3 linked regions of the Tamandua tetradactyla genome follow. The protein of the gene in region 3 interacts with the protein of the main gene of each other region in a pairwise test. Links are inferred from orthologs where the notes say so. Each region holds a gene or a part of one and is shown on either strand. Other genes may lie near its edges.

Evidence for each region.
Region 1: the proteins of TSC22D1 (region 3) and APLP1 interact in a two-hybrid assay, tested with the Homo sapiens proteins (2 studies listed by BioGRID and IntAct). The link is inferred for Tamandua tetradactyla from reciprocal best matches to the Homo sapiens genes TSC22D1 and APLP1.
Region 2: the proteins of TSC22D1 (region 3) and CCDC90B interact in a two-hybrid assay, tested with the Homo sapiens proteins (2 studies listed by BioGRID and IntAct). The link is inferred for Tamandua tetradactyla from reciprocal best matches to the Homo sapiens genes TSC22D1 and CCDC90B.

The regions. Positions count from the first base shown.
Region 1 is NC_135342.1:30,106,332-30,110,078, forward strand, and holds the start of APLP1 (amyloid beta precursor like protein 1), read right to left. Parts: upstream 2,547-3,747; 5' UTR 2,451-2,546; coding exon 2,304-2,450; intron 1,393-2,303; coding exon 1,249-1,392; intron 522-1,248; coding exon 392-521; intron 199-391; coding exon 86-198; intron 1-85. UniProt on the Homo sapiens protein: May play a role in postsynaptic function. The C-terminal gamma-secretase processed fragment, ALID1, activates transcription activation through APBB1 (Fe65) binding. Couples to JIP signal transduction through C-terminal binding.
Region 2 is NC_135334.1:61,280,897-61,284,643, reverse strand, and holds the start of CCDC90B (coiled-coil domain-containing protein 90B, mitochondrial), read right to left. Parts: upstream 2,440-3,747; 5' UTR 1,963-2,439; coding exon 1,863-1,962; intron 1-1,862.
Region 3 is NC_135330.1:114,319,642-114,323,388, reverse strand, and holds the start of TSC22D1 (TSC22 domain family protein 1), read right to left. Parts: upstream 2,828-3,747; 5' UTR 2,748-2,827; intron 2,494-2,747; exon of another isoform or gene 2,293-2,493; 5' UTR 2,113-2,292; coding exon 1-2,112. UniProt on the Homo sapiens protein: Transcriptional repressor. Acts on the C-type natriuretic peptide (CNP) promoter. Acts to promote CASP3-mediated apoptosis.

The sequences.
Region 1 (3,747 bases), on a different chromosome or scaffold from region 3:
GGTGTGTGTGTGTGGATCAAGAGTCTTGGTTCTAGCGGAGTCCAGTGTTAGGAGTCTGGCAGGGTTGGGTGGGCTAGGTCCTGACCTCCTGTGCCTCCTGATGCCTCCTGGTAGAGCTCTCACACTGGTCCATGCGCTCCTGGTGCAAGAACCGGCAGCCTTCAGGCACCAGCAGAGCTTCGCTCACGAATTCTCCAGCTGTGGAATGAGAGGCCCCAGGATGGGACCCTTTGGCAGCCTCCAACCCATCCTCCCCAGAGTCCATATATTATCCTCAGAGGCTTCTCTGCCTCACTCCAAACCCAAACACCCAGACCCCTAATGTGGGCACAGAACATTGCCCCTGGGAGACCCCGCCTTGGTTCCCCCCAGCCCCCAGCCAGTAACTCACGCAGGCAACGGAAGGGCACGACCTGGGGGGAATGGGCACAACGGCCACCCCGGGCACCTCCGCACCAGCGTTCCATAGGGATGGCCTGCGCTGCCTGCTCCACTCGTGCAATCTGCAGCTCTGGGTACATCTGGGGATACCAGTGGGGGATGATCAACACACTGCTCTGCCCCTGCTGGCCACACTTCTGCCCATGTCCCTTTTCAAGGCTCCGTGTTCAGAAGGACAGCCTGCCTTGGCCCTGCTTTTCTCATTGGAAGTCGCCTTCATTATCTCAGTCCCGCCAGACCTGCAGGCAAGCACCACCCTCTAAGCCCCACCTCTCCTCTGGTCACTCCCCTATCAGGTCCACCTCCCAACAGTCCCCTTCTTTAAGTACCACCTCTTTCTCTGTTTGGTCTATCCATAAGTATCCCTTCTCTTCGAATTAGGCCTGCATTTTCAAAGCCATGCTTCCTACCCACTCTCTCCTTGTCATTCACTCCTTTCCCATTTTGGGGGCCCATAAGGTCTCTTTTTGTTTTAGGCCTGCTTCTTCCTTGTCACGCCCACCCATAAGGCGTGGGCCCACCAGGATTGCAATGTACTGCCTCTTCACTGGGTAATCCCCCAACTCCCTTAGTTGGGCCGTCTCTGCATGGATTTCACTTTTTTCTTGAACTAGTTTCTCAAAGCAGGTTCTGCCCTGTCCTAGCTTCACCTCTCTATTAGGCCACATCCCCTAGCTTCCCATGCCTGCTAAGATCCTGTTTCGCCCAGGACCACGCCTTTTGCACATCTAGCTTTTTATGGGTGACCCCGCCCCATCTTGGCCCCGCTTCCCCGCTGACCACGTCCCTCCAGCAGGTCCCGCCCACCTGTCTGCAGTAGTCCAGCACGCGCTGCGGGTCCCTGAGACAGCGTCGCGAGAGCTGTGGGTCTGGCTCCCAGCGGCCGGTGCGCAGGTCCCGGTGAAGGGTTAGGCGCCCGCATAGCCCGGCCACCTGGGCCGACCCCGGGGCCTGGGGGTACGGGCAGAGAGGTCATTAAAGACCCGTGGGACGCTGGCATATGGTCCTTCAGCCCCTCATGCCCCAGGGCCCACATATTTAGACCCCCAGCACCAGACCCTCCCCCAGGCACCGCGCACCCGCCTTCTTGGAGGCACCGTTCCCCAGGAAACAGCTCCCTCAGGGCGGGGGCGCCCCAGCTCTCCCGTTGCTATGGCGACCCGGGTCCCCCGGGATTCTCGCGGCCCTGTTGCCGCGGAGACAGGCTCGATTCCCACCCCGCCGCAGCCGCGCAGGAGCCGGAAAGGGTTAAACCTGGATCGCGGGGGAGGAGGCCAGAACCCAGGCGTTCTGGCCCCTCCTCCCTCCATCCTGGCTCAGGCATCCATTCTTAGGTGCAAAGACCGCCAAGGCCCGCCTTCAGTGCCCGGCGGCCTGGTCATTAAGTCCTTGAGAACCCGGAGCTACATATTACATCGGGATAGGGGCCTAGAGGCCTGCACTCCTAGATCCTGGGGCCCTCATTTGGGTCCAGAGGATGCCGGGTGCTGGATATTGAATCCAGTGTCCTGATGCCTGGTGGGTCCTATGCTCAGGTGGGAGAATCTGGGGATCTTAGAAGAGCTGGACACCTGCGTTCAGGGGTCTGGAAAAGCCAATTCCTATGTCTGGAGGAAGGGAGGAAGCCTGGGACGTCAGATGATGGGGGAGCTGGGGTCTCCCCCATTTCTGGGTCCAGGGTTCATGAATGCCTAGGGCTGCTAGGGGGGACGCCTGGGGATTGGCCATCTGACTGGAAAGACTACGTTTTCTGCCCTGGACGTCTCCGCCTCGGGGTCCAAAGTCTCCGTGACGTCTCCGCCTCGGGGTCCAAAGGCTCCGTCCCTCCCCTGTCCCCATCCCCCGACCCAGCCCGGCCTCACCTCGGCCGCGCCGGGGCTCCCACCGACCAAGCTCCCGGCGGCGAGCTGCGCGCGCAGAAGCAGCAGCAATAGCGGCAGCCACAGCGGCAGCGGCGGCGGGTCCCAGTGGCGGCTCAGACCGCGAGCGGCGGGGCTGGCGGGCCCCATGTCCCGGCCCTCGCGCCCTCGCGTCCCCTGCACTCCCGCCCGGCCGGCCGGGCCCCAGCGGTGACAGGAGCTCCCAGCGCCACCGCCACCACCGCCTCCTCCCGCCGCCGCTGCTGAGCTGCGCCGGCGCCGCCAGCCCCGCCCCGCGCCGGCCCCGCCTTCCCGGCCAGGACAATAGCGTGGCAGCTCTGCGCAGCGTGGAGCAGCTCGGAACCCCGAGTGGGAGCGTGCGCCGGCCCCCGCCCCTCGAGATTCCAGGCATTCCGCCCCCGGCAAGGGCCCAACCAGGAGTCTGTGGGGGTCATGGGCTCCACAGATTTTGAGTCTTCCCTGAGGACCCAGGAATTCTCGTCTTCCTCAGACCCAGAGACCCCCAATCAGCTTCTCCCTCTTCCAGGGATGCCAGCATCTGAGAACACCCCCGTTCCTTCTCCCCCACGAATTCTTCTTTTGAAGTCTTAGGAATACAAGCCTCCAAAATGTCTACCATCAAGAACACAACAGTTGAGACCCATCCACTCCTCCCTCAGGTCCAGGAGTCTGGGCCCCAGGCCCCTTTATTAGAACCAGAGGCCAAGCCTCCGGCCCCTCCTTCTGGACCCTGGTGTCCAAGAGTCTGCACCTTTAACTCCCTTCTAGCTCAAGGATCCATGAACTCAAGCCCCCAGTCCCTTTCTTTAAGGATGGCCCAAGTCTAGGCCCCCAGCATCTCAGGGCAGTGGTCTGTGTCCCTATCCTTGCTCTAAAGACAGGCCTCCCCATCCCCCTCAGGACTCATTGCTTTCTTTGACTCCTCAGATGATAGTATAGTTTTCCCCAGGCACACGGGAGCAGCCCCGTCACGTGTAGGCATGTATGTGCACATGCATGTATGTGTCTGTCTGTGGGTACGTGCCCACTTGCCTCTTTCTATGTATGCGACTCTGGGTGTGCACATCTGCATGTGTGGTTGTATAGATGTATACCGAGAGAGTTAAGAGAGCCCAGGGCAAATAGTAGCAAGGTGCTGGGGGGTGGCTCACCTCATAGGCTAGGGTAATGGCAGGTTCAATGGACATTCTCCTCAATGGAGGGGAATAATGTTGGGAAGGTCCCTAAATGGCTTTCATTCTTTTGACTTTTTTTTATTAAACATAAATACTCTCATCCCCAAATTCTTCTTCATCCCACAACTCCTCACCTCCTATGATTGTTCTCACCCTTTCCACTCTTTGGGTCCAGTTCTTCCTGGACATTTAAGGAAGGTGGAAGGAACCAATAGGGTAGCCATATTGGGTTCCTGAGGAGTGAACGACCA
Region 2 (3,747 bases), on a different chromosome or scaffold from region 3:
AGTCCTTGAGAGTAAAGGCCATATCTGTTCTTGCTCATGAATGGATTCCCAAAGCCTAACACAAATCCTGGTACTCCACTGATATTTGTTAAATGAAAGGTACTGTTTGAGGTGTTATGGATACAATGATGAATAACAATGTGGTGCTTTCTTTCTCAAAAGATGTAGTATCACGATATATCCATAGAGAATACAGAGGAGGGATACTGACCCTAAGAATAAAGGCTAAAAAAATAGTTGTTTGGAAATAATGCTACAGCTGTATTAAATCTTAAAGAGGAGTTATGCTGACAGAAGGTACACAGCAAAATTCATTGAGGCATGGGCTGCCTTTACTACTCACACTTTGGATTCTATTTACTATGGGTGTGAGGGAAAGTGAGGTGTATACAGAGGAAGGATATGTAGAACATATCTTCCTAATTTGTTCAAATAGTCATGTAATCCTTTGTTCAATTCTCACAATTCTATAAGGTAGGTAGGTATTGACACTGTCCATCTTTACTTTCCACTTTGAAGGGTTTCACTTCTCTTTGGAGGCAATAATAAATTGGAAAAGCAGAGTGATCAGTAGTAGTACAACTTGGATTGACACTCTGGCCCATCTTGAGTCAAGCTGTTTATCAGAAATAGGCCACATTTTACTTTCGAAAAAATATATAAAACGGTATCATTAAATCTAAGTTCTAGTTTTATGTTAATTTACTAGAACTTGAGAGTTGAAATACTTGAATGATATGGCTGACACCATCCTTCTGTCAGCAACTTAAAGAACAGGCATCAAAGTATATATTCCCAAATGCCAGCCTGTTAATATGCGCTAGACTAGTCACACGAGAATTATGAGGATTCGTAAGTTCAATAATAAAACTCAATACAGAAATCCATGGGCCCTTCCCTGGAGACTGACTCAGCAGTTCTGCAGTAGGACCTGGGAATCTTAATTTTTAAAGCTTCCCTTGTGGGTGGGTCACGGTGGCTCAGTGACAGAGTTTGCTCCTGTCATGCCGGAGACCCGGGTTGGATTTCCGGTACCTGCCCATGCAAAAAAAAAAAAAGAGAACTGGACGAAATGATAACCAAGATTCTTTCACATATCTGAAGTGTCAAGGTTTCCAAATTCCTTGATGACTGACACTACTAGGCAAGTTTAAATTACTTGAACACAGTAAACATTCAACACTTATTTCATCCTGATTCTATCAGTGACTCTATAACCATCAGTGACTCTACGACCTTACTAGGCAAACACTTTATCTTTTCTATTTCAATTTTCTAAAAATCCTAGAAGTGTCTTTATACAATCAAGTCAGATGTCCATCTCTGTACACGCTGCAAAACAGAGATGTCAGCATTTGCTTTTTTTTTTTTCTGAATAGCTACATGATAGCAAAGTGACAACAAGGCGGGTGTATCTTGAAACGCATGCTGCAAAAACCTGGGCTTGAGAACCGTACTTAACACAGAGTAAGTTTTGGCAAGCCACTAGAAAAATCAGAATCCCCAGAATCATCAATCCTTAGATGGTTGCTCTAAAGAGATCTGCAAGAATGCAAGGATTACCAGCTCCCTCTAACAGAAAAGGAAACGAGCTCAGAAGACGGGCAGGGACCCGAAGCTTTCAGAGCACAAAGAGTTTTGGTCCTCTTTCTACTCTCTGTCCTTCCCGACCCCGTGTCCTACCAGGCGGGCCTGGGCGCGGAAGCAACTGAGGCAACAAGATCGCTACGCCCCGCGCAGACTGCGGGCAGCGTTGGGGGGCGTGGCGCCCACGCCTCCCACTTGCCCGAGCAGGTACGACATACGAGCATTATTTCCCTACAGTGCAGCCCGGAATTCGCTGAGACCGTGCCTTTTCTCACCTCTCTTTACGGCCGGCGAGAAACGCCCGCGCGGGAAAGAAACCCGGCAGCCTCCATTGCCTTCAAAGCCAAGGAGCCGCCAGGCCCAGGGAGTCCTCATATCCTGTTTCCCGTTTGAAGAAAGGAAGTGGAAATCTGTATAGTCGCGCTCAGGCTTTCGGGAAGGACAGGTCTGGTATCGCAAGGATGCTGGGAAATGTAGTTTTCGGCCTGACGGATGTACAATTCCTAACACTGGCTTTCACCGCAGTACCGAGAAGCTGGGCCGTTTTACAAGTGGACCAACAGTTCACACGCATGATTCAAAGCTGCTTCGGCTTCTCCCACCGCCCTTTCCCGACCCGTGCACGCCGTTACCGCCCTAAGAAAACGGGTCCTTGTTGGAGAAGCTTCCGGCACCCAGTTCTTGGTAGTGAGGTGCAGTCCAACAGCAAGTTCCCGACGATAACCACCAGCCATTAAGCCCTTGGGTTGGTGGGAAACGGAATTGGGTCCGGCCGCACACCAATCTGGGACCTGTAGTTCTCAGCCACTGAACATTCCTGGGAATCGCCCACCCCGAGGCCACTAGAACCCCTGGGAAATGTAATCAAGGGAGATATTCATTCTTGTTCCTTCATCGTCCTGGTTGCTTTGCCCTCTGGTGCACAGGAGGACGAACTTTAGGTTTGACTTGATCCTCTTCAGGGAAACCGAAATTCGTCCATTTCCACGGTCGTCTTAATTTTCAGCCCTATACCTGTCAGACCTCAGTTACCCTAGACTGCTCAACATGGCAGAATGCTGAAAATAAAATACACAATTATGGTGACGAAATGCAATAATATAAGTGAATGTTCTTTGTAAATCCTAAATGGTACTCAATTATTAGGCTTTAGAAGCTTAATTATTCTTACAAAGATGTGAACAGCTATTGCTAGATTTCCCTACCTATATGTATTCAAACACCCCACGAGGGTCTGCTGTGTAACAAACACCATTCTCAGTACTGACACAGGTTAAAAGAAGACTACTACTTGATTTCAAACAGCAAGGACTTGAACAATTAGTGGAGAGGAAGTATAAATAGCTATTTCACTAATGTAAACAAAACAAAACGAAACATAAAGACATACCATTTTCACGTATCAAAGATTTTTTAACAATGATAATGCTCAGTGCTGACAGGAGTGTAATTAATCCCACATATTTGGACAATAGTTCAATAATATATATGAATCTTTAAAAAACGAATAACCAGAATTTCACCTTTAGGTATCTAGCCTAAGAAAATAGTCACATCTGTCAGTTAGTATTTGTATGAATGATGATCAGTATTTTTTTATAATAGTGAAAAATGGAAAATATCTCAATATCCAAAAATGATTCAACAATGCAGAAATGTACCAAGTGGGAATATTATATCATCATTAAGTATTATATTGTGATAACTTAAAAAGACAGGCAAAATTTTATAATGCTAATATATGTGTGTGTATACTTAATTATATATGTCCAGTATGATTTCAATTCTGCTACATAATATGATCTCTGCTCTGCAGGGGCTCATAGCCTAGTGGGAAATACAGAGCATTAAATGGGAACCATGATATTTTTGCTTACCGTAAATGAAATATTGATTATGAATAAAGGTACACCTTTTTATGTGTTAACATGTTGGTTATTATTTATTACTATAAAATTCTCTTCCCAATGCACATACATACTATTGATTAGACACCTGACCAAAGCTGGGCCAATCATTTTTACTTTCATGAAACTGTCAGTTGGATTCAGAGATTCTTAATTGTGTCCTAAAGCTGTATGGAACTATAGCAAGTAAGCTCAGGAGCAAGGAGCAATCATATTCTGCCAAATGGGCCAGGAAAGTACAGAGAAGTAGAGA
Region 3 (3,747 bases):
CGGTACAGCAGACACTGCTGTTGGAGCCTGGCCCATGGGCTGGCCAGATGCCCCTGCAGGTTGTGCTTGGACTGCTGGGGGCTGCACTGACAGCTGAACACCCTGGGGCTGAGCCACAGGGATCACTGCTCCTGCTCCCACCCCTGCAGAACTGGGCTGTCCAGAGGATACTGCCGCCTGAAGAATAGGCTGCTGTTGTACATACTCTGGAGTGGGATTTTGAGTCACTGATTTACCATGGCCTGGGGCCATCTGTGTAGGAACAGCTGGTTGCTGTTGTCCGTACTGTAACTGCTGGGGTGGTGGCCCTGGAAGGGGAGTTTGCACTGGAGGAGCCATTTGAGAATATGGCAGTTGGGGTTGAGCCAAAGTGGAAATGGAAGGCTGCTGAGCTAAAGCTGAAGTTACACCAACAACGTTAACAGGCGATGGCTGGATACCAGGTGCAGCACTGATAGTGGCTTGCAGAGGTACTGGTTGAAGACCTGGCTTTTGCGGATAGCTCAATTCTTGAGACTGTAATTGTACTTGGGAGATCTGTGACTGAGAAACACTCTGTGGTATACTTGCTGCTGAGATACTCTGTGGACCAGTGCTACTGAAATCCATCTGTTGAGGGGCCACACCTTGAGGAGCTGGTGGTGGTGGTGGCTGCTGCACCACCACGGCAGGGGCTCCCATCTCTCCACTTCCCACACTCTCCGTGTAGTGACTCAGTGTGCTGACACTACTGCTCACGGAACTCCCACTGGTGCTCTCCCTCTCAGAAGTCACCTCTGCTGGGTTCTGTTTTACCGTCTCCACTGCTTTATTTACCACCACACCTTCGGTGGCAGGTACAGTGTTTTCTTTTTCGTAGAACTCAGTGCAAGTCCACCTGCCTTTCTTAAAGGGCTCAGAACTGGTATCTAACTTAACGACCCGGAACCTGGATGTGTTGACCATCGGTTGTGGCTGCTGACTGGAAATGGGTCCCACAGCCATCCCAGCGGCCACGTTAGGGATATTACCCACAACGGAGGCAGAGACAGTTCCATTGCCCATGCCACTCAAGATATTCACATTAATGCCAGCTCCGGGCCCACCGCTCACACTAGCAGCACTGGGAATATTACTCGTACTTACATTAGCATTCCCAAGCATGCTGCTGGCCACGTTAGGATTAAAACCACCCACAGCAGGAAGGTTTACATTATTCACTGTGTTAGTGCCAGGAACAGAATGTATACCTAGACCGCCAGGAGTACTCGAAGTGCAGACATTAGTCATTACAGATGCAGGTGACCCACTTGATGATACAGCACAAGTTGGTGCAGCTGGTACAACACTGTCCGAGCTTCCAGTTGTAGAGAGTTTTCTGGCTATTGGGCTGGTGGGGGGTCCTCCAGGGATGGGTGCACCGGCCACCCCGGCGTGTGCGGGATGGTGGTGCCCGTGGTGGAGGTGGTGCCCATGACCGTGGTGGTGGTGATGGAGGTGGTGGGGGTGGGCGCTGCCATTGATCACAACATTCTGCGGTGGAAGGTGAGGCAGATGAGTCTGAGGAAGGTGGGGCTGGTTGGGAGAGACGGCCCCAGGTGTCTCGGCTTCCTGGAAGTTATTCAGAGTCTCCTCCGAAGAGCTGCGTTCTGGTTCCCCTAAATCAGTAGCCCTGGAGAGTGACACGTCAAGGATCTCGGAGGAAGACAGATCCTCCGTGTGAGATTCATCCAGGTCGTCATAGCTCTCTGTGTCCTCTGCTATACTGTTGTTCGAGCTGATGCTGGCGGAGATCTGAGCTGGAGTAACGCTTGTTATCTGGAAGCCACTTTTCTTCTTCATCTGAGTTCCGCCTGGCGCAAGAGGCTGTGCCTGCAGCTGAGCCTGCGAAAGCAGGTTCAGGCTTTGTGGGGGCGGAGGCTGTGGTCCCGACGAAGAGGCTGCAGGGGGCGGCGGCTGGAGCAGCGACGGGGGCGGCAGATCCTCGGCAGATGTGGCATGACTCCCGACGCCGGTACCTGCTGCGCTAAGCGCAGAGGCGCTGCCGCTGCCGCTACCCCTTCTCGGGAACATTGCCGGGTGCGCCATCTTCCTAGCGCTCACGTCGGCGGCGGCCTCCGGCGGCTGGTGCATTGTGTTGGGTACTGGGGGGCGGAGGAGGCAAGTGCAATTTCCGTCTGCACCGTAATCTTTGTATTCAAGACGCCGGAGAGGAAAACCGGACCCCACGCTCCGCCTGGCTCGATTCCTCCTCCTCCTCCTCCTCCTCAGCCGAAGGCACAGGCGCCGGTCGCTTCTGCCTCCGGGGGCGAGCTTCGGGAAGGGAGGACGAACGAGGGTGAACAAGGCTGCCGGGGACCCGAAGGGGGGACCCCTCAGTCCTTCGCCCTTCGCTTTCCCCTCTAGTCTCACACCCCACCCACCCCCCCTTTATATTCCCCTTCACGTGGGGTGCGGGGCAGGAGGGAGGGAGCGAGCGAGCGAGCGGGGGAGGGGAGCGGGGCTGGGGGTGAGAGGAGACCGAGGGATGCCCACCTTCCGCGGCCAAGTCGCCAACTCGGAAGCCACCTCCACCCGCTCCTCCCGCCGCGGCGCCAGCGGCGGCTGCAAAGCCCTCCCGGCCGCGCTGCACGAAGACGGCGCGGAGCGAGTCCCGCCCGCCTCTCGTCGGCGCCGCCGTCGCGGACGAGCCCCGAGCTCAGGGGCGCTCAAACCTCCCCTCCCAGTCCCGTCGCGCCCGCTCCGCCCTCCCCCCACGCCCCGCGGACCCTTTCAAACCCCCTGGGCTCGCGGCGGCTGCTCCGAGGGGAAACGCTGGCCGCGGCTGGGGCCGAGGCGGCGAGGCTGCGAGCTGAGCGGCGGCGGCGGCGGCGGGGCGCCCGGTACGGTGAGCCCGGCAACGAGGAGCGGGCGGGCGCGCAGAGGCGCCGGGTCCTCGCGGAGCGCGGCCGGGGCGCGACGGCGGCGGTGCGAGCCGGAGCCAAAGGAGCGCTCCATCACTGGCAGCCATGGAGCCCGAGCATTTTCCTCCCTCGGGGCAGGCGCCTCAGCTCGGCACGCGTCCTCGGGGAGGAAGGGGCCGGCGCCCGAGCCTCCCCAGGGGGCGGCGGGCCGTAGGCTAGCGCCGAGGGGTGCGAGCCGCTCTCGTCCTCTTCCTCCGCAGCCGGCTTGTCCTCACCCGGCTACTGCCGGACCGGGGCGGGAGAGCCCCGGGCGACGGCGGCGACTCCTTTCTCGGCAGCTTCGGTGGCCAGACGGGCTGGTGCAGCGACTGCAGCCGACGCCGCTCAAAGGAACGAGAGGTGGGGCCGCTCGGTGTTGGCCAACGGGGCGGGTGAGTGGGTGGGTGCTGAGGGAGGGGGTCGGGCGGGGGACTGAGGGGGTTGTTACTAGTGCTCTTCGGCTCCCCGGGTCTCTCGCGGCATAGGGAGAGGAGGGACCAGCGCCCGAGCGCAGGAGGAGGAGGAGGAGGGGCGACCGCCGGCTAGAGAAGGAGGCGGTGGCGGGGGAAGGGGAGGGGGCGAAGAGCGGAGAAGGAGGGAAGATGGCGTCTGCGCATGCGCCCCGGCGCCGTAGACATAAAGCCTGGTCTGGCGGGGTAGGAGGCGGCAGGTCTTCGGGCCTTGCCGGTCGCTCGGTCTTTCCGCGGAGATTGCCGAAGGCTGGCGGAGGCGCCGTCGTCGTGGGGGTGGGGGGTTGGGGAGCATCTCCGCAGAGCGAGCGAATCCGGGTCGGGCGGTGTGGGGGTGGGGCAAGGCTGGGGAGCTC